Linked DNA regions of Oreochromis niloticus. The protein of the gene in region 2 interacts with the protein of the main gene of each other region in a pairwise test. Links are inferred from orthologs where the notes say so. Each region holds a gene or a part of one and is shown on either strand. Other genes may lie near its edges.

Region 1 (10,609 bases), on a different chromosome or scaffold from region 2:
ACAGCGCAGCTGATTCCCGATCAGCTCCCACATCACCCTTGAGCTTTGCTGTGAATTGAGAGTTTGGCCAATGCCTCCGTGATCCTTCTCCGCGCCTTGCTGGTAAACGGGGTTAAGCTGATACATGCCACTTATATTATTGCTTCTTATCCTTTTTTAAAAATATATCTGCATGTATCAGTGAAACCCTCATCTTTGCCCAAACTCTCTCTCTGCACGTGTCTCTCAGCTGCTCAGTAGGACGATGATGTAGATGAGAAGCAGGCAGATGAGGATGAGGGTGAAGTTGACGAACAGCTCCTGCAGGTTCCTCTTGGCCTGCGGGTTCACCTCGATCTGAGACGCTCGGCGAATGGCCGATTTGGTCATGTGCTGAACGCGCTCCATGAAGGCCGGTTACAGTTTGATCGGCTCGATTGGGAGACGAGGGAGTTCAGGTCAGGCTGCTGGGCCTGTTGTTGTAGAGATGGGGGGGATGGGGGGGTGTTGATCTGAAGATGAGCTCGGGTCAGGTGGCAGTCGCTTTATCTTCTCTTTTCTAGTGGCGAAATAAAAAAAGAGACTGTTAAACACATGAAAAATGGGATTTCAGAATCACCCCAGGCCCTCGTCCCCTCATGCGACCTTTCCATATCAGCACTACATAGTGTGATGATAAGACGGCTGCTCAAGAGGCGCCAGCTGAGGCCTGATGATGTGTTAAGCTGGAGTGTAGTCTGAGTGGCAGCAACACAAATGTCATGACCACAGTCCTGGGACATGTTTGTAAAGAGGGAGGAGAAAAAAGTTTCTCATGACTTTATAATATGTTTTGTCCCCCCTCTGTCATTACATCCCAATCAGCTGGGGGTCGTAGATTGTAAGCAGAGTGCGTAAGCAGGAAATAAAAGCACGTCACACAGTGCAGCTGCAGGCTCTCGACACTGGCTTAAATCCCCTTTTGTCATCTGATCTGTGACTTTCCCCAGATCAGAGGCACCGTGACAAGGTTACCGTGCTCTCGCATTAGAGGCTCCTGCACACAGCGAAAAAAAGAAAAGAAAAATCTTCCCACTTGTGCATCGGCTGTGCCAAGGTCTTTTCTATTTTTAACAAGATTAAAATCCACACAGGCGCACCCCTGCTGGGTACATTGTACATTACATCCCGCATTACAAAAAGAGGCTCAGCGATCTACACACAGCTTAGGAACCTGAGAGCTTTGCTGCTAGAAGGTGTAGGTGTTAGGGTGGTAATCCAGGAGTTTGGAGGTCCTCTGTGCAAAGTTTCAAGTTTATCCTCAGGGGGGCGCCAAAGGAAAAGTGCCCCATACTGCATATATTATGACTTACGCTTATGATACTTGAATTGCACTTTTAAACTCTAATGTGCCATTTTTATTTTTTTTTTTAAATCTTGTTTCCTCGTGTCTGTAAAAATAAAAGCAAAAAGGCAGCCATGGCTATTTTTAATCATTTCACTTTTTTCCTTCCACCCCCGTAATCTTCCTCTGAGTCACTCATTATCACTTGACATGTTGACACTTGTGCACACAGTTTCTCAGACCCCACGGGTTAACTCTCCAGCCCGCTTGATCAGACCTCACTGAAGTGGAGCGTAGCGTGGCTCTGGAAGAAGGAGGTTTGAGGGGTTTCATTTCTGGAGTAATCGACCGGTACACAGTCGTGTCTTAGCTTTGACCTGTGTGTAGAGGCGTACTGACAGAGTTCATTAATTCAGCGTATTAACCTGATTAAAGAAGAAAAAGACACTAAAATCTGCTGTTTTCATGCCAGGTGACGAGCACAGAATTGCTGATTGTGTCCTGCATGTGTCTTTCTCATCATCATCACCTGTTTTATCTCATGCCCATGTTTGACCAGCTCCTCAGGACGTACATATGCTGTTTCATCAACACAAGCAATCACTGTTACTCATAAATCCTCCAAGTCTCTGTATGTCCTCGAACAAATGCACCAAGAATGATCAGAAAGTAATCAGGCTGAACTTTTCCTCTCATCTGTTTATGATTTTTCTTCTTTTCTTCCACCCCACAGAAGCAGCCAGTGAAACTCCTCTTTCTATCAGTGTGAAGAGATTTAACTACACATTGAATCCCTGACATATATTAATATAAGAGAACGAGGAGTGGTTTCAACAGTACGTCTCTTTATCTACGTGATAAAATAATGCTGCTGTAGTAAATGAAAGAAATCTGTCTGTGCTGAGTCTGTGCTTAGACAAATCTGGTCCTCAGGCCTTATGTTTGACACCCATGATTTAGAGCGTTTGCGTTCAGTCTGGACTTTTAAACTCATTAGATTCTAAATATTTGGCTCCATGTAGAAGTAGGCTTTGACTTTATCAGCTATGGAGCTTCAGGGTGGCCTGAAAGGGACAGGCTGAAAGTCCTGTTTGGTTTGGGTCAACAGGTGGCGCTCTTTCAGCTCATTATTTGTGATTAAAGGGTTTTTATTGAGGTATTGTCTGTAAACACAACACCTCAAAATGTTTTGTATCCATGCTGGTAAAATGTTGTATGGGTGTAGAGCGGGGTCATGTCGTCCACTGAGGTCTTCAAGGTCAACTCAAAGATTTATTGGTCGAAAATTGACAAAAAGCCTTAAAACTTACTGATTCTTACAAGTCAACATATAAAAAGTACAGTATAAAGATTTAAAATGTCTTGTCACATTTGACCTCTGACCTCTTCTTCAAGGTCAGCAGATTGATCTGAAGGTCAAAGTGCTAATAATGCTAAATAGAACTATTTAAAATGACAGAAAGCTTTCAGACTGACACAACTATGCTTTTTGAGTATAGCTGACACAGGTTATAAAATACAAAACTATTTAAACACATGTGCAATCCTCACGAATAAGTATTATGTTTGTTTTTTTAAACCAAATAAACTTTTTTTTCACTTCATATTTATCACTAAAAATGTCCATTTTTACTAAACAGTAAAATGAATTTCCTCAGCTCCATCTAGTGGTCTGCAGACAAACTGTGTTTGGACTGAAGCAATCAAGAAAAATCTTTGCTTGTGCGTCTTCTGCACAGACGGTTTGTATTCTGGGCTTCCCTCTGACAGCAGCTCAAACTACACCTATAGAAATTAATATTCATCCGCCCCGGTGTTTCCCTGCCCCGCTCTGTTCCTCTCAATCATCCTGTGCCCGAGGTCATGAGCCTTCCACTTCCACTCATCCTTCTCTCCTCCTTGCTTCCTTTCTCACTTTTTATATGAGAAATTAGCATTTTTGTGCAGCTTGTAGTTTGACCTTTGAGGTGAAATTACATTCTCTCTGTATGTCAGTCTGCACACCGCGTGTCTGATAACAAGCGAGCCACCGCTGCTCGGCTTCATCCTCGGCTGGTCTGCAGCCGCATCATTATAAACTGAGCTCTGTCAGTCAGCCAGGCTGTGCTTTTCTTTCTTGTGTCTAGAGTGCAAATAATCTTCATTTCCACTGCACAAAATGAGTGAAAATGAAATGTTGACAGTAGATATAAAGCTTTCATCTTTTTTGGCCCACACAGGCACACCTACATCCTGATGCAGTGCATACATCTATTTTCTTATTTTCAGCAAGCTCTTTACTCGTCATCATTTCCTACTTTGCTTCTTAGCCTGTTTATACATCTCAAGTGGCTTAGGGCCAAATGTGTCACAGGAAACATGGTCTAGCTAACTTCACAAACACAACACCTTTATTTAGGTTGAAGCTGTGGCCTTTATTTCAGTGGTAATTTTGTAGTTTAATGGAACACATGAGCCACTGTGTCAGCCCCAAAAGGGCTACTGATTAAACCTGAGGGATTATAATATTTATTAATAAGCTCCCAGGCTTCTAAAAGTGTTGGTGATAAAGGATCATTAGCTGAATGCTATCTTGTGTCCTAACCAAAAGTCAATAATCTCAAAGCAACACCTGATGGATTCAATTTCAAATTATTCCAACAAATCAAATCAAAAGAGGAGTCTAGGTTAACTGTAATTTCCCATCTTAGCCACGTCCTTTAATATGGAGAAGGCCCCAAAAAGTAAGCAGTAGATCATTTGGGTGATATTATTTTACCTCCTGCAGTTTCAGTAAAGCGGGTTAGGAAATGAATCTATGTTTTACTTTACTGTACCATTCTGCTGCTACTTTTGAAATTTATCTAAAAGGCCTCACGCAAAAAACACAGTGCATTTAATCATTTGATTAGCTTATTTGTATTTACCGTGCAAAGCTCGAGGAGAAATCTGTTTTTATTTTTAGATTATCACCGTTAAAGTGCAGATTGCTCCTCTGGGCTGCTGAAAGGACCGCGTTGTCCTATAAACACAATCAGCTGTTGTTAGCCGTTCTTGCCAAGCGATAGATTTCTCCAGTGTGACCAACACAGAAGTGGAAAATAATGGTGCTGATGTTACTGGTAATAAAGTTTTTAGAGATGGAAATAGTTTCAAAATAAACTGAAATAAACTGAATTAATCTTCTGTTTTTCTCCTGTGAGTTTTGTCGCTGTGTGCCAGAGCGCGCAGGTACATGCACGCCACTTTCTGCCCACTCTAGAGGCTAAAGTGACACTAAAAATAAGTCATTAGCGATGCTTTTTGTCTTTGCAATCAACATCAGCACTTGCAAGAGAAGTAGCTGGTGTAATGTTAGCATTTCCTCTTAGAAAATGATTGACAGCTGTGAAGTATGTAGGTTAGACAGATGCATGGGCTTACTGATGTTGTCCTGCTACTCTAATTGGGTCATGGCTAGCTGCACCCACTCCTTGATAGCAGCTGTTGGGAGCCAATACCTCACATAAATCACTTTAAATTTGGCAGCATATATATATATATGTACAAAATTTAAGGTCTTTATCATAAATAAACATGTCTAAAAATATATACATGTGTAATATTGCATTGTATAGCATGATATAAACATAGTTTCATAGTATTAAATATAATTGATTTCTTTTTTTACCAACTGTTGTGTATTTTGCATTTGTCACATGTCAGAAAGAAAATCTTACCACCCACTTCTTTCTAGTGTTGCTTTTTTGTGCGTAACTCGCTCCATGTACTGTATCTCCTTGAGAGGTCATTGTGAAGTAAAGATACATCTAAAAGTATCTTAAAATTTTTTTCTTCTTAATATTTTTTTAATGGAAACACATCTAGAAATAGAATAAGATTATCAAATGGAGCAAAAAAAAAAAAAGAAATACAGTGAATTCTCCTGGACCACACTGGGAAATATTGTATATCGTACTGCAGCATTAAGTATTACTAAGATAGAGTTGATTTGACTCCTCAGTGCTTTTAAATAAAATCATGTGTTCGGGATAGGAATGTAAGAATCTGGGATAAGTCTTTATCCCTCTGGGAGTTTTAGCCCAGTCCCTGTTCCCCCTGCTTCTCTCTACAAAGCTGTATTTACTGTAAGTGAGCAATGACTTTATAAGAATCAGTGATTCATATCGTGCTCCTTAATATCTTAACATAAAACATCTCCTGTAACCGTTTAACTTCTGCAAGTACAAATGTCCTTTATGTCCCTAACCAGTTAAGTACCTGACTCAAATAACTCAGCTACCAATAATAATACGTTTTAATGACTCTTCTTATCACAAGATTTACCCTACTGGGCTTTTATCCTGTCTGTATCATCATTTGTCATCATCAACTCTCTGTCAGCCTTCCTACAGAGCAGCTCAGAGGATGCTGGCTCTTACCTTTCAGATGAGAAGAGAGCTGGTTGGAGTTTGAGAGAGAAATGTCAGATATGCCGTCCTCTCCAAGGCTGTAAACACAGTGAGAGATGGAGAGAGAGGGAGGGAGGGGAGAAATAAAGGAGAGAGAGAGAGAGGCAGGACATCCCAGCAAAGATTTCAGGAGAGTGGGGATACCAAATTTGTATTAGGGCTCCTGAATTATACATGCAGCCACCGGCACGTACCGCTGCATTTCAGGGTTCAAGTTTGGGTGAGAGTTCTGAAAGCTGAGATCGCGAGGTCATTCCCTCGTTTAAAACAACTCAGTCATATACGCAGACGTTACAATACTTTTTGTTTCTGGCTCTGTAATAGTTTATTATTGATGATGCAGTATTACTGTTCATTTAAGATTTTTCAGGGAAAGCATGGTAATGCTCTTAAGCTCTCTGGGCTAAATGGCTGACGTATTAGCCACACTCCTAGAGCAGATTTGTTTTCTGGGAAAATTATTTTGGGAAATGTGGAAAATTTGCCAGCTTTAGAAGGACACCAGTCCTGTTGCACTGTGCCCATCTGTGAAGAAAGAGATGCTTTATGTGTTACTGCCATGCCATCCTCACCATGCGTGCTTTCTTTATCCTTTCTTTAATGCATTAATGACGTGGCTGCTGGGAGGGGCCAAACACGTCCCTGCGATCACTTGAAATCTGGCTTCCGATCAAATACCACACCTAGACCACCCTATTGTCTTCATTATCCTGGCAGCCTGATATACACTTGGCACATGTGTTGTGCTTTTTGAACAGCTGATGACACCTCTAAATTTACAGTATACATTTGGCCATGACCACATCATTGATCCTCTGGGACCTTGAAATTGTTGAAGCAGCCACGAGAAAGTTATTTCTCTTCTATTGCTTAACTCGCTAACTCTGTGTTTCGCAGCTGGTGGAGAACAAACAGCAGATTTGTTTGCCTGGATGTGAATTTAATGTGTCACAGTAATACTTGTGAAAGCTAGTCTGCTTATCAGATCCATTCATTTTGAAGCTATTTTAAATTCGTTAGCTGTGAAGGTGGGTCTACCTGACATTGTATGAATTTCATTTAAAAAAGTATTTTTATCATTGTGTGTATGTGTGTTTGCGAAGTGTGTGAAGTCCTGGACAGCATCCTCCACTTTAGAGAAATCAGTCGAGACAAGGGTTTCAAAAAGAAGTCTGTAAAAAGTAAAAATAACCCCCCTGCTGTGGCCCAGAAAGCATTGCATCTGCCTTATAAGGGGAATCAGCATGTAAACAGGCTGTCAGTCACATACTGGGAAGTCTGCTTTGTTGATGTTGCTGGTCTCTACTCCACATGGATACACACTTCAAACAATCCGAGAACACGGGCAAGCAGATAGTTCTATCTTTTATGACAGCTGTATCTTTCCCAAACATGAAGGGGAACCTTGATCCTCCCTCTGGGAGACAGCTCCACTGTTTCAGGAACATTTGTAAATAGAAAATTAACATAATAATAAAATAATATCATATTAGCCGAGAGTCAAAAGCACAGTCAGAACTGTTCATGAAGAAGAATTTGTTGTGCACAAAATCATAAGAAAAGGACGTTTAGTAAGAAAGACTGAATTTAAATCTAAGGAGTAGTGGACGTGCTGTACTTGGGACATTATTTCCTGATGCATTCTGAAATCCAAAATTAGCCATTTATCTGGGGACTAAAAGGGTCCAGATGTTGTTGAATGTACAGATTATGAGTGTTCTTAAGAGACTGTTTTTAAGCCTGCTTGTCGTGATCCATGCAGGGTTAGTAACCTCTGAAAGTCTTTGGTTAGCCCCATTTAACCTGCAGGACTGTCTGGAGGCACCTGGGCCATCCTTTGCTACCTTGGATGAAAACTTTTGTCGACCCTGATTTCGTAACAGGGGAGAAAACTTGTCAAACAGTCAAAAATTATGACCGTCATCTCTAAAAGGCAGTCTGGAAAGTATCAGGTGGAGAAACCGGCTGCGCTGACTTCAACGGTGACGGGAAATTTTTAGAAGAGCTGATTGTTTTTTAAAGCCAGTAGCCAGATGATAATACACTGTCCAGCAGCTATGGATGGATAAACAGGGCTGGTTGTCAGAACTATAATGGTACAAAGTAATATGGAAATCAATACATTCAGTTTTCTTGGGTTATATTCGATCACTTGAGTTTTAAAAGTGTCCAAACACGTGACAGGCTATCACGTTTGGATAGACTATAGCAGTAACTCTCAAGGAATCAAGGACAGTTGAATTAACCCCTGCTAGCAACACTAAAATTGAAGCCTAAAAGGTATGTTTTCCAATAACTATGTAGTTAGAGGGATGACAGATATAGTGCAGATGGTCTTTTTAGAGTTGTTGAAGTTGCCATAAAGGTAGATTTCAAACTACTAACTAAAAATCTATCAGTAATTGCTCTAAAAAGTCAGTACTGATCTATTAGACGGACCGACTTTGGCATATGTAGGACAAAAAAGAATTTGGCATCAAGCTGATGTATTAATGTGAAATATATTTGACATATGCTAGGTATAGATTGATTTTTGGCAACAGAATATTACTGCTGATAATCAGCAGGCGGGCTTTCATTGGGCAGTGGTGAGGTGCCAGTGGCCGACTGAGGGTTAGAGCTCATTGTGTCTTTGTGTTTGTTTGATGCCAGGACTGAAGGGATAAATCTAACTCTAAGTCTGGAATGCGCAAATCATTTTCAGCTCCGAGGTGCTCTTGAGGTAGGCTCTCGCACATCTGAGAAAGCTCTTCAGCTGTGGACAGATCCAGCTCCTGCTGCACTGGACAGCCTCCAGGTGTGGAAGTGTGGGAGTGGGAACACTCCTGAAACTGGGCCCACTGCTGTCACTGGAAGTCTAAAAATAACACTCTTGGCAAAAATAATCGCTTCTCTCCTGTTATGTAAAGTCCTTTGAAAGTGATGATAAATATTTGCGTTTATCTGGTAGATTAAGTGTCTCTGCACTTAATTTTCATTGTCATCATCATGTTCTGTCTTGCCTTCATGAGCACACAGAGCCTTTATGTCCAGCTGAAAAGTAATTATAAAATCTCTTACACTAGGAAAATAGTTTCCTCCTTTTTTTTTTTTTTTTTAAATCCCTAGAGTGGTGCAGCTCTGCAGCCTTACATGGTGAAATACCAGACTGCTCTAACCCACGACTAGCAAGACAGAAAGATTCAGAGGGAAAGAAACAGCTTGACTCATATAAAGAAAACCACAGCAGGGCAGAGAAAACAGACAGAGCTGCTGCTGCTACCAGTCAGAAGTCAGAGATTTGCTCTTTTAAACAGAGACGCAAAAAGAAAATACTGCACTTTAAACTTTTGTGGTTAAACCTGTAATGAACACACCTGGCCCTTTCTCTAGCAGTCTAAGGTTTTGCACTCACTCAAAATTCTCGCTGCGCACATACAAAGAAAATATATTTGAGTAGAAGCTTTCATGTTCCCCAGAGGATGAACTTCTTGTATTATAGATTTTTTTCATAAACTGTATAATGAATTTTAATGATCTGAAGTACATCCACAGGCCCTGAGTGTTGGATCTGAATGACAGCAGCTCAAAGACAACAACAATGTATGCAAGATTTGACACTTGGCAGCCATCTTGAAATGTAACCTGGCAATTAATTATGAGATATTTTGAAGCATTTTCTAAATTAACAGTAGCATCTGTAGAATCGGTCACGGGTCTGACACATAGAGACAGACATCCATTCACACTCACGTTTGCACCTTCCAGAGATTTCAGTGGAGGTGCTTGTGGTTAAACCTGTAATGAACACACTTGTCTTTGAGCAGATCTCATCACCACTGCAGTTATTTCTGTTACGTTCTGCTAGCCACCAAAATGAAATAAAGGGCGACAGGTACGCCCATACCTTGCACTTAGGCAAAATACAGCCAGGTGGTTGGAGCTGGTCCATGGACTATTTTAATCCAGGCGAAGATCCCCTAAAAAATGGAAACAAACAATATCCAGAAGACAACAAAAAGTCAGTATTAGGCCTCAGTCACACAGGCAAGAGACTAATCCGAGACCCCCCGGTCAATATTCCCTGATTGTTTGGTAAAAGAAATTGGTGATGAAGAGGTATTTAGTGGTACCCTAAAAACCTCTTTGCAATTGCTTTAGTTGCTTGCAAATTGCTGCAGATTTGTCTGCAAGCACTTGTAAACTATTCACCGAGCAGTGGTAAAACTTCAAAAGTTGCAACTCAAACCAGAAACAGAGATTGTCCCTCTTCGGAGTACAACTTGCGCTTTTTGATTAAAGTGTTGGTTTCTGTTGTAAAGCACAACGTTTGCTTTCAAGGCTAACAGTCTCCATTTCTGGTTTGTGTCACTCTTTTCATTGTTTCACTATCACTCGGCGTCTTCCCTGCAAACTTCGGGTACCCACAGCAATCTGCCACTGATCAAAGTAATGAAAAAAAGAGGTTTTAGGTCCAGCAGCTTCTTTGAAAATTTGCTATATTAACAACTAATGATTTCACATGATAATAGTCAGCAACCCCCAACCACCACTGTCCAATACATAGGTTTACCTGCTGACCAGAGATTTCCAAGCAGTCACTGACCAGTCTGAGACCAGTCCTTGGGTCAGTAAACCTGGGCATGAATAACTACAGTGAACGTGAACAGCAGCAATGTTTGTAGGGTTATTGACGTTGGGCTAGCTGGCACACAATGGTCTGCTACCTGGTGTCTAGCTACAGAGCTATGGTTAGGATAATATAAACACATTAGCAGAGCAAAGATGGAGGACGAATGGGAAGGTTCTGAGGGGCAGAGACGAGTGGCAGGAAAAAGATGCTAAAAACAGACCAAACTTCAGTCAAGCGAACATCTGTGATGATCCATCTGTCACA
Region 2 (10,609 bases):
AAAATCTGCTCACACAGATATGTAGAGCCAAATACTGTCAATAAGGCCTCTGCAATGTTCTGAAGACAGTTAAACTTGTCAGGTAGTGATGTCCAGCAGGTGGAAATGCAAGCTCCATGAACACGCACAGCTGTGGATTCCAGCTGCTCGATGTCGCATTAACTGGTATCAACTCAGCCAGTTAGACAAATCTAGCTGCTCATTAAAGATTTCTGGTTTGATCAGAAAAGAAAACATTGGTCCATACACCTGAAAGTCCCAAAAGTGCATTGTGTCTCGAGTCTACGGATGTATCCATGTATCTCCGTGGTGCTGATGCTGTGCTGAGCGGACAGCTCCTGAAGCTTTTGAAGTGTCGGAATGTGGAAAGCTAACAACGTCCCTCTTACCAGTAGGCTAAGTTATTTTTAGCCAATTACAAGTTGAATCTGGTACTTGGGGTTGTTAGCTAAGATACCGTCATTAAGAAGAGATACAACTAATGTGTCTATGCGAGCTGATTTGCGATGTGCACCGCTGGCACGGCCATTTATTTTTTGATGCACCTTCTCAGATTAATTCACTGCGTGTTGTGCCCAGGGCTGGACTGGGACCAAAAAAAAAAACAGCCTGGGCATTTTGACTAAAGACCGGCCCACCAGGTATTAAAGCCATAAAGCCTTTGAATGAAAACGAACGCTGTTGTGACAGTGATGTACACTGTCTTGTTGGTATATGTATGATTTCTATACATTTTACATCAGATAAAAACTTTGGTTGTAAGCTTCAGATAATTATTTAAAAACAGCCAGACATTTTAAATGAGAATAAGAAAATATTTCCTTGTGCCCCCCTTTCCCTGTTAATGCCCTACCTGGCCCCCTGGCAAAACTTTGCTAGACCCACCCCTGCACAGTTACCAGCTGTCAGCTACTTAGAAAAGGATCCTGGTGTTATTTGTCTCTCAGAAACAGTTCATAACTTCCCTTCAACTCATTCATGTCACCTAAAAGGTAAACCTGTTTCTCCATCACCTGTTCAGCTCTGATGAGTCAGTAAGGACATCTCCTGGTTTCATCTTCATGTTTCCCTCTCACCAGATATACAAACCGACATCATGACCAGCACTTTTTTCAGCTGTGGCTCCAGCAAACATCAGCTGATACTAGAAATTGATATTAAATAAATTCTAACAACAGCTGATCAAGCTTAAACGTGCTGCTGTTGTTTAGCGCGACATCCGCTGGTTTCCTCTTTCTGGCGCAAAGTGGGCGATAAACAAACAAGAGAGAAAAGCCGATCAGCTGATCATTGATCAGTTTCATGACTGAAGTAGCAACAGGAGAGAGAATGAGAGAAGAAGAAACAGTTGCGTAACGACAGAACAACTCCACCTTTGTGTCTTTCTCATTCTAGCTGAAGTCCGAGACAAACTGCGTCCCCTCTCAGCTAAACACGAAACGCGTAATAATTTCTCTGAATGCGGGAGGATTCCGTCTTTTTACGGGACGGTTGGAAACTCTACTAACTAACCTTATGAATTAAATAAAGTTCAACATCAGTAACATCACAGCACCCACCCAGCTGTATAGAAACTCCGTCATGCTAGCTAGCGCGCAGTACGAGTTATTGTAACTGACTGTAAAAAGTCAACATAACGAAAATAAACTCCACCTAAACTTGGTTTATATCTGACTCCGATAGACTGCAGGTCATAACTTCTTACCTGAAGTTCAGTTCACCTGACGCTCGGACCGGCGGCCGCCTCGGGTCTCTCCTCGTCCTGCCTCCGATCTCCATCATCCACGTGCTGGCCTCCACCACTTGTTAATTTTACTGAATCTGTGGAAGCTCTGCGATAGCCACCACCAAAGTTCTTTTTACACACCGGCCAGCATCTGGCCAATCCACCATCTTTCATTGTTTATACCGTTACACCCCCCCCCCAAAAAAAAAAAAAAAAAAAAAAATCATCGGGCCACCGAGCAAATGCCCGGTATGCCCGATGGCCAGTTCAGCTATGGCCGTGCCATCAGTTAACCCTTGGCACGCGTGCCTAGGGTTGCCGACCCCTGTTATATTTGATTAAAAATACAAAAATTCCTGCATCTAAATCTTGACAATACCAAACAGACAATCTGACACAATCACATGACCTCCTTCGTCGTGCTAAAAAGTCAGAAGAACTGAATCATCTTACATCTGAGCTGGAAGAAAACGTTCCTTATCGATTTTGACTGTTATGTTGCTCTTCACCGCCTCTTTGTAGATCGGGATGTTCTTATTGACTGCAGCCTGTTGGGTAATAAAGAGAGAAAACCACTCTATGCTATTGTGCATTCAACAAAGAGGCAGATGGCCTGTGCTTTCTTTCCTAAATAACTAGCCAGAACAGCGTCACCTGAACAAGTTCAGCATCCTGCGGTCGGCAGCGAATGGTAACCTTCGGCTCCAGGAGTCGGTAGAATCCCTGAAACATTAAAAAAAAAAGCTCACTTTTTAAAAATAGAAAACTGAACATTATATCAACTTTTGGTTTGCAATCATAGATCATAATGGTAGATTATACCTGAAGCACCAGGCCCTCCAATAGACTGGAGTACTTAGCAGGGTCCTTAGCAATCTCTGCAAGTCTCTGACGGGCCTCGTTTAACAGATCCTGTGACAAAAACAGACAACTGGATACATTAGAAATTCATATATGACTCGTGATTTATGGTACGTGTAAATAAACAGCATCCAGTCTTTTTCACTGTACTGGAGTAGTGAAGGTCAAATACAGGACACAACATTTGCACATTATTTCCATGTGGAAATACGTACACAAAAATTTAATGCAAGAATGAAAGCTAATCATGGAAGCAAATTCAAATTCATCATTAAAGTTATGATGAATCTGAATACAGGAGGTTTCCAGTGGACACAGAAATGAGCATTCATCGCTCACCGTGATCATGTCGTCTCGGGCCTTCAGCACCTTCAGCCTGGCTTGGTTCATCAGGTTGGATCTCTGACTGTGGAGGGTGTTAATTACACTGATTAATTCCTTTTATCAGAGATATTCTTAAAGTAAAATTCCTGCCTCTTTAATTGGGGTAGAGCCTGCATTTCTTTGAACCAAACATGATTTTATTTTGAACTTTTTAGAGTCGTCATTTTCTCTTCTTCAGAGTTGTTGGTCCAGAATTGATTAAATCTATTTATGCTGCTTCCGTGTTGGTTAGTTCAGAGGATGCCTTACAAGCTATCAGAAGATCAGTCACTGCCTCAGAAAGACAGCGTTTACTCAAGAGATGTGAGATTGCAGAGTGTCAGATCTGTAAGTGTTTGAAGTGTGGGATAAACAGTGATAAAAAGCATCTCACAGAAACAGTCAAACCAATGGGACAGTGGAGCTAAAAAGAAGAAAGAAAAGGCGTGCTGTGGTGTAGCATTTCCAAAGGCTAACTAAATTTTTTTTTGATGGATGCATTCCTATTCGTGTAGTTTGAGTGACCACTCTTTCTCACATCTTCTTATGCTGCTCAATCTGCTTTTCCTTCTTCTCATAGTACTCCATGATTTTCAGCCGCTGAGTCTGCACCAGACGACCTTTCTCAATGTTGAACTCTTCCTCCGCCTGTGTAAGAGAAGGTTCATTAAATCAGTGGTCACTATCACAAAAGCCACAAGACTGACAGGCAGACAGGCTTCAGTTACCTTTGCATCAATTTCCTCAACCTTCTCATTGGCCTCTTGCTCAATAAAGGCCATCATGTGCTTAATCTGCCATAAGAAACACAAAAAGCAGCTGGTTCAAGTTCACATCTCTGACAATGTGCATCCTTTATCTGTCTTTTCTGTCTGTTTTCTGAATGATACATAGACATGCGTACACACTTTTACTGTTTTACTAAAACTGATAGTTTAGCATTAGAAAGTGACCAAATTACATTATTTATCGCTATCAGATGAACTTGACTTGTATTAATGGCAATGTTAGCATCTAGGCATTAATTTTAACTTTGCACCCGTTATAATGTAAACTGCCACCGACAACCAGAACTAAATGAATTGCGGCGTTGCCTTAAACGTTAAACATAGTGCGGAATAATGATTAACAGCGGGACAGTGCTGCAGTCCACGTTTCGGCCCGTTAACTGAGATTATGTATGTTTACCGTAAGTTACAACACTCGTCAGTGGGATGGACGTAGTTAAACTGGTCCATAAAGTTTACCTGTTTCTGTACGTCAGCGTCGGTGAGTGCCATGGCTATTCTCAGTTATGTTTATTGTCTCTTTGAAGTCTGTCAAACCAGTTGTCTCCGTCACTTTTACCGTCCACTGAAGCACAAACGGTTTGGGGTGAAAACACGGTTTGGCTTTCGTGGTCGAGCTGGCTACTGGAGGCAAAATAGAACTTCCGGTCTGCACTTTCAAAATAACATTTCGCGTTCCAGTTAAATATTTGTAAGAAGGGCGGGGTGCTAAGGTTGGATGCTCTCCTCTCAAAATTTTTATAGCTACAGAGAATCAAGGATTATCTCCCCCAATAACAGATATGTTATTGGGGGATTGTAAATTCCGCGAGTTTCCTCTTGTGACCACAGGTTGAAAGGTGTCCGGTAGCAGAGGAGAGTATTATTATGAAGGCTCTGACAGGAAGATTGGTCCCGGTTTTGTACGCTAACATCCAGAGTACCCTGTGTACTAACGGCTACCTGCCATTGGTGGTCTACCCTCTCCGGCTTCTGCTACAGGAGTGCGTGTGTGTGTATGTGTTCATAATTCTGTTCAGCTTGTCGTCTGTCCACATCTGGTTGCCTTTGGATAAGGACGGTAAGAAACGGACACCCGCTGAGCTTAAGTTAAAATGAAGTTTTGAATCTCCAGCACGTAAAACGTGTAACGTCAAGCTAGCTAACAGTAGCTTGCATGTGAGTTTAGGTGTTCCAGCGAGGGGTGCAGCGGACACTTACGTAATTAGTCAGGTAATTAATTAGCAAAGCTACATGTCTGGTTAGTAAAGCGAATGGCTCTGTTATTTGGTAGATTATTTTTTTGCGGGCATGCTGAAATCTTTTGAGGATAGTTGTGTTTATTTAATTTACGTTAATTATTGTAGCCGCTTTGTTATTTGATGATTGAACTTTTTAAGTATTCGGTTATACGCCATATTTTATTTTGATAGTTAAGCCCGGAAGTATTTTGTTTAATTTGGCAGACTTGACACTAATGGAGTTTTTGGTCCGCTTGGTGTCACCTCGTCTCTGGAGGACCATGTGGGGGGATTAACTTAGAAGTTACAGGGGGTTAAAGTCGTGTTTCATATTTGTGCAGTGATCATTTTATTTGAAAATTGTTTGGGGTTTTTTTATGGATGTTTTGTAAAACGACCATCTGTTTGCCACATGTGTTATGTAAATCATGATCTAGGCACAAAAAAGTACCCAAATATGTCCTGTCCCATTCTTCTGTCCTGAGTTGGGACCCATGCAGTCACAGAAGTCTAAAATCACTCTGTGAGTGACGGGGGAAATTTAATTTGTCCCCTTAGTGCACGCAGTGGGGGTAGGACACTGTAAACCTGAGGGGGGCATCTGTTTATGTCATTCATATAACAGCTTTTTCTTTTTTTCTTTTTAAAGATTAAATAACATATTGTATGATGTAATGCCTGAGTGTAGATATAGATTTTCTTAGCTTTTATTAATGGGTGCCTCAGCCTCAGCCAGCCCATCCTTCAGGCTGTAACGATTGTGCCTCTAACGAGATATTATTCTTCCTCTGGTTGTTATTTTCCCTAGGTGAGACGTCCAGCTTTGACTGTATGAATTAATGTGCCTGAGAGTCTGATACACATCTGTTCGATGGCTACCTCAGGCTCCACCGCTTCTGCCTCAATCCCAGCCACTGTGCCTGAGGGTTTCCATTATGAAACCAAATATATTTTGCTTAACTACCTAGGAATGGTGCCTGCAGGTAGATCAGACCAACCAGCTGCAGCTCACGGTGAGAGGAAATGCTACACATGGTTGTAACATAAAATATCTGGGGTGTGTAGGCACGTAACCACCTGTTTTGCCAGCTTAATTTGGCTCTGACTGGAATCTGACTTTAGCAGGAGAACACATTCAGAAGACCTGTATGGACACTTTAACATGATAGCTGAAGCCAGTGTCTGTAAACCAATAGATTTAGTGGATTCTCATCTAAAGCCCAGCTAGAATCCTTTCAATAACCCAATATGGTGACCAGAGTGCATAAAGCCGGCCTGTCTTCACAGAGGTCTTTACAACAACCCTGTTACGTGGCCCCGGGCATGCTGGCTCACATTTTTCTTCTTGTTCCCTGTATGCCCGACATACCAAAAAAGGTGTTGTTGAACAAATGTACAATATAGTAATGATTTTCTGTGTCTGCTATGTGAGACTAGAGAAATGATGTGTGAAGGTAAATGCCAGCAGCTGTTCATTTCTTTTAGTTTGTGCAACCAAGTTATGACCTCACAGCGTTAATTCTGAAATAAATCTTAGTGATTAAAGAGAGCACAAGACTTCTGGAGAGCCTCTTTGGATGATGCATGAAAGTAAAGGAGCAGAGGTATCTGAAAAATGTATTTGGAGCAAGGAAAAGAAGACGAGAGAGGGGGAGTTCTTTTTATTTTCTGTCCATTTTATTGTTGTGTGCATGCTTGGAATGGGCGGAGATGGCAGATGAGTGGCTGATCCCTGCTTTCCGCTTGACCCGGTCCAATTTCTGACAGCCTGTCATGTGCAATCACTGTAGCATTACTCACACACCAGTGGACCAAAGCAAAATAGTTGTCTGGCTAGCTGTCTGTCTAAATGCTGACACAGCACCAAGGCCAGGAAAAGCCAACACTGGTCCTCATGGCACCCATGCAGGGACATGAGAGAACAAGATCCCAGTTGTCAGAGTGTCTTCTTGCTTTTTGTTAAAAAATGTCATTATTTGATTTCATAAACTGAGAAAAGTCAGCTACTAAAGCGGTGAAGAATCCCCACTTCAGAAGTGATTCATCATTGCAACTGAACCAATGGAGTCCAGTCACACTGGAAATAACCAGTGCCTCTGGGTTGCATGTATGAACATTATAAAATGATCCCTGCATCTCTCCGGGGTGAGAGGTCAAATGTAAAACTTGATTTTAAAAAAAAAATTTTTTTTTGTAAATTCAATGCAGCCCCACTTGGTGCCTTTGTGTTGCGTGGTTCATTACACCCTGAGCAGTGTAGACTCAGTGCTGTAAATAATTAACCCCTGCCTTGATAGCCTTCATGCACACGATGACTGAGAACCATTAACAGTTTTTTGCTTTGAATTCAGGCTCGTCAGGCTGAGGAGGAGCGGCTGCCTGCAAAGGTGGTTCTCTCCTCCAAGAAAGTTGGTGTGCACGGCTGGATTGTTGACACGCTTTGTGTATTCATAGTGCAGGCATCAACCGCTCATCATTATAGTGGAGTCAAGAACTGGCCCAGTTTCCACTTTGATGTTGATCCTAGCCTGTTAAATATTTCAAGATTTAATAAAAAGTCGGATCCCACATGTGTTGTGTTAGCAACTTAACCCATTCTTTGTCAGATCCTCTATTTAATTTGTCAGATTATATCCAAAACCAGTGAGTGCATAACTTTTATGAATCCAAAAAAAGACAATGAACCTTTTCGAAAAAGCCACATGACCAACCTTTTTTTAAGTTGTTAGAATAGTTACATAAAGAAAACTAAACACATGCATAAAACAATCACAAAATAGCACAGTGTAAATATGTTCATGGTTCCTAAAATTATTATTGAGGATGCGCTGAAAGAAGGACTACTTTAAAAAGCGACCATGCAAATGCAACAAAAACAGCTGGCACACACTGAAATGACCGTCCAACCACAATATCCTGTTAAAATGCAGTCAAAGCAATTCAGAATTTCCAGAACAGCTTTTCTTTGGTCGTGTTTTAAGACATTTGGGGAAGTTCTGCATGAAAATTAAAGCGACTGTGTGGGAGAGAGCCAGAAAGAATGAAGGATAGAGTGACGGTGGTTCATATTTCATGTTTGTTTATCTCTTTCAGAAGATACAGAGGCTGAGAAAACAAGCTACAGAGTGATAAAGGAGCAAATAGAGGAAGGGCTGAGAGAACTGGATGGCGAAATTGCTGCCTGTAAGTGATCACAAACATACACAGCTACAATTAGGTCCATATATATTTGGACACTGACACAAGTTTTGTTTTTTTTTTTTGGGGGGGGGGGGGGGTTGTTTTTTTTACTTGTTTACTGAAATTATAGTGACACAATGTGTAGAATTTCATCTTTCATTTGAGGGCATCCACATTCAAATTGGATGAAGAGTTTAGGAGTTTCATCTCCTTAATATGTGCCAGCCTCTTTTTAAAGGGACCAAAAGTAATTGGACAATTGACTAGAAGGCTATTTCATTGGCAGGCATGGGCAATTCCTTCATTATGTTGTTTTTAATTAAGCAGATAAAATGCCTGGACTTGTTTTGAGGTGTGGTGCTTGCATTTGGAAGATTTTGCTGTGAACAGACAACATGCGGTCAAAGGAGCTCTCCATGAAGGTGAAACGAGTCATCCTTAAGCTGCGAAAACAGAAAAAGAAATCACATCTGAGAAATTGTTACAATATTAAGAGTGGCAAAATGTACAGTTTGGTACATCCTGAGAAAGAAAGAAAGCCTCTGGTGAACTCAGAAATGCAAAAAGACCTGGACGTCCACATAAGACAACAGTGGTGGATGATCGCAGAATTATTTCCATGGTGATGAGAAACCCCTTCACACCAGCCAACCAAGTGAACAAGACTCTCCAGGAGGTAGGCGTATCGATATCCAGGGCTACCATAAAGAGAAGACTGCGTCAAAGTAAATACAGATGGTTCACTGCAAGGCGTAAGTCATTCATAAACCTCAAGAATAGAGAGGCTAGATTGACAGATGAAACCAAGATCAACCTCTATCAGAATGAGGGCATGAAAAAAAGTGTGGCGAAGGTGTGAAACAGCTCCTGATCGAAAGCATCCACATCGTCTGTAAAACATAGTGGAGAGAGCGTGATGGCTTGGGTGTGTACGGCTGCCAGTGGCTCTGGGACACTGGTGTTTATTGATGATGTGACACAGGACAGAAGGAGCTGAATGACCTCTGATGTGTTCAGAGACAGACTGTCTGCTCAGCTTAATGCAGTCAAACTGATTGGGCGGCGTTTTATAATACAAATAGACAATGACTCAAAACATACAGCCAAAGCATCCTAGGAGTTTATTAAAGCAAAGAAGGGGAATATTCATGAATGGCCAAGTCAGACACCTGATCTTAACCCAGTTGAGCATTTCACTTGATGAAAACTAAACTTTGGACAGAAAAGCCCAAAAACAAACAGCGACTGAAAGCTGCTGCAGTAAAGGTCTGGCAGAGGATTAAAAAGGAGGAAACCCAGCATCTGGTGATGCTCATGAATTCAAGACTTCAGGCTGTCATTGCCAGCAAAGGGTTTTCAACAAAGTATTAGAAATGGACAATTTTATTTTCAGTTATTTAATTTTTCCAATTACTTTTGAGCCCCTGAAATGAAGGGATTGAGTTAAAAATGCTTTAGTTGTACACATTCTCATGCAATCTTTTTGTTCAGACCACTTAATTAAAGCTAAAAGTCTACACTTTAACTACATCTGAGTTGTTTAATTTAAAATTCATTGTGGTAAAAACCAAAATTAGAAAAAAGTTGTCTCTGTCCAAATATTTATGGACCTAACTGTAGTTCCAGAGATTAGCCTTCAAAAGCACTGAACACCATCACTAGTCTGGTCTTAAGTTTTTAAACTGAAGTTGATCAAAACTAAGTTCAGTGTGCAAATATGACACATGTACAGTTAAAGCTCTTTGGTTTCTTTCCAAAAAGCGTGAATATTGCTGCAGATTGCTGTGGTTGGTCACAGAAAAGCTGATTTTGATTTTAAGTGAATGATTGTTTTGTCTCACTCTGGTTTAAAAATGAGGATTTTTATCTTTCTTTCACAGCTCACACACGTGGGTGGTTGCTTCATCATGTTTCACTAGTCTAAGATGCTTTAATGTTATTCTTAAGTAAATATGATTTATGAGTCTCATTAACAGGATCTCAGACGTTAGTTCAATTACAATAATACATACAGAGAAAAACCCAACAATCATATGACCCCCTATGAGCAAGCACTTTGGCGACAGTATGAAGGAAAAACTCCCTTTTAACAGGAAGAAACCTCCGGCAGAACCAGGCTCAGGGAGGGGCGGGGCCATCTGCTGCGACCGGTTGGGGTGAGAGAAGGAAGACAGGATAAAGACATGCTGTGGAAGAGAGACAGAGATTAATAACAAGCATGATTCAGTGCAGAGAGGTCTGTTAACACATAGTAAGTGAAGGAGAAACACCCAGTGCATCATGGGAATCCCCGGCAGCCTACGTCTATTGCAGCATAACTAAGGGAGGATTCAGGGTCACCTGGTCCAGCCCTAACTATATGCTTTAGCAAAAAGGAAAGTTTGAAGCCTGATCTTAAAAGTAGAGATAGTGTCTGTCTCCCGAATCCAAACTGGAAGCTGGTTCCACAGAAGAGGGGCCTGAAAACTGAA

What was found.
Region 1: the proteins of bcl2l13 (region 2) and pln2 interact in binary tests that used the Homo sapiens proteins (3 or more experiments, as listed by UniProt). The two-hybrid records come from large-scale screens. The link is inferred for Oreochromis niloticus from reciprocal best matches to the Homo sapiens genes BCL2L13 and PLN.

What each region holds. Positions count from the first base shown.
Region 1 is NC_031986.2:13,222,679-13,233,287, forward strand, and holds the start of pln2 (cardiac phospholamban), read right to left. Parts: upstream 5,864-10,609; 5' UTR 5,704-5,863; intron 539-5,703; 5' UTR 388-538; coding exon 226-387; 3' UTR 1-225. UniProt on the Homo sapiens protein: Reversibly inhibits the activity of ATP2A2/SERCA2 in cardiac sarcoplasmic reticulum by decreasing the apparent affinity of the ATPase for Ca(2+).
Region 2 is NC_031972.2:61,939,186-61,949,794, reverse strand, and holds the start of bcl2l13 (bcl-2-like protein 13), read left to right. Parts: upstream 1-4,373; 5' UTR 4,374-4,798; intron 4,799-4,804; exon of another isoform or gene 4,805-4,950; intron 4,951-5,766; 5' UTR 5,767-5,829; coding exon 5,830-5,971; intron 5,972-8,051; coding exon 8,052-8,141; intron 8,142-10,609. Other genes in the region: atp6v1e1a (V-type proton ATPase subunit E 1a), read right to left, coding at 2,180-2,274, 2,381-2,449, 2,549-2,638, 2,927-2,993, 3,489-3,598, 3,679-3,744, 4,198-4,230. UniProt on the Homo sapiens protein: May promote the activation of caspase-3 and apoptosis.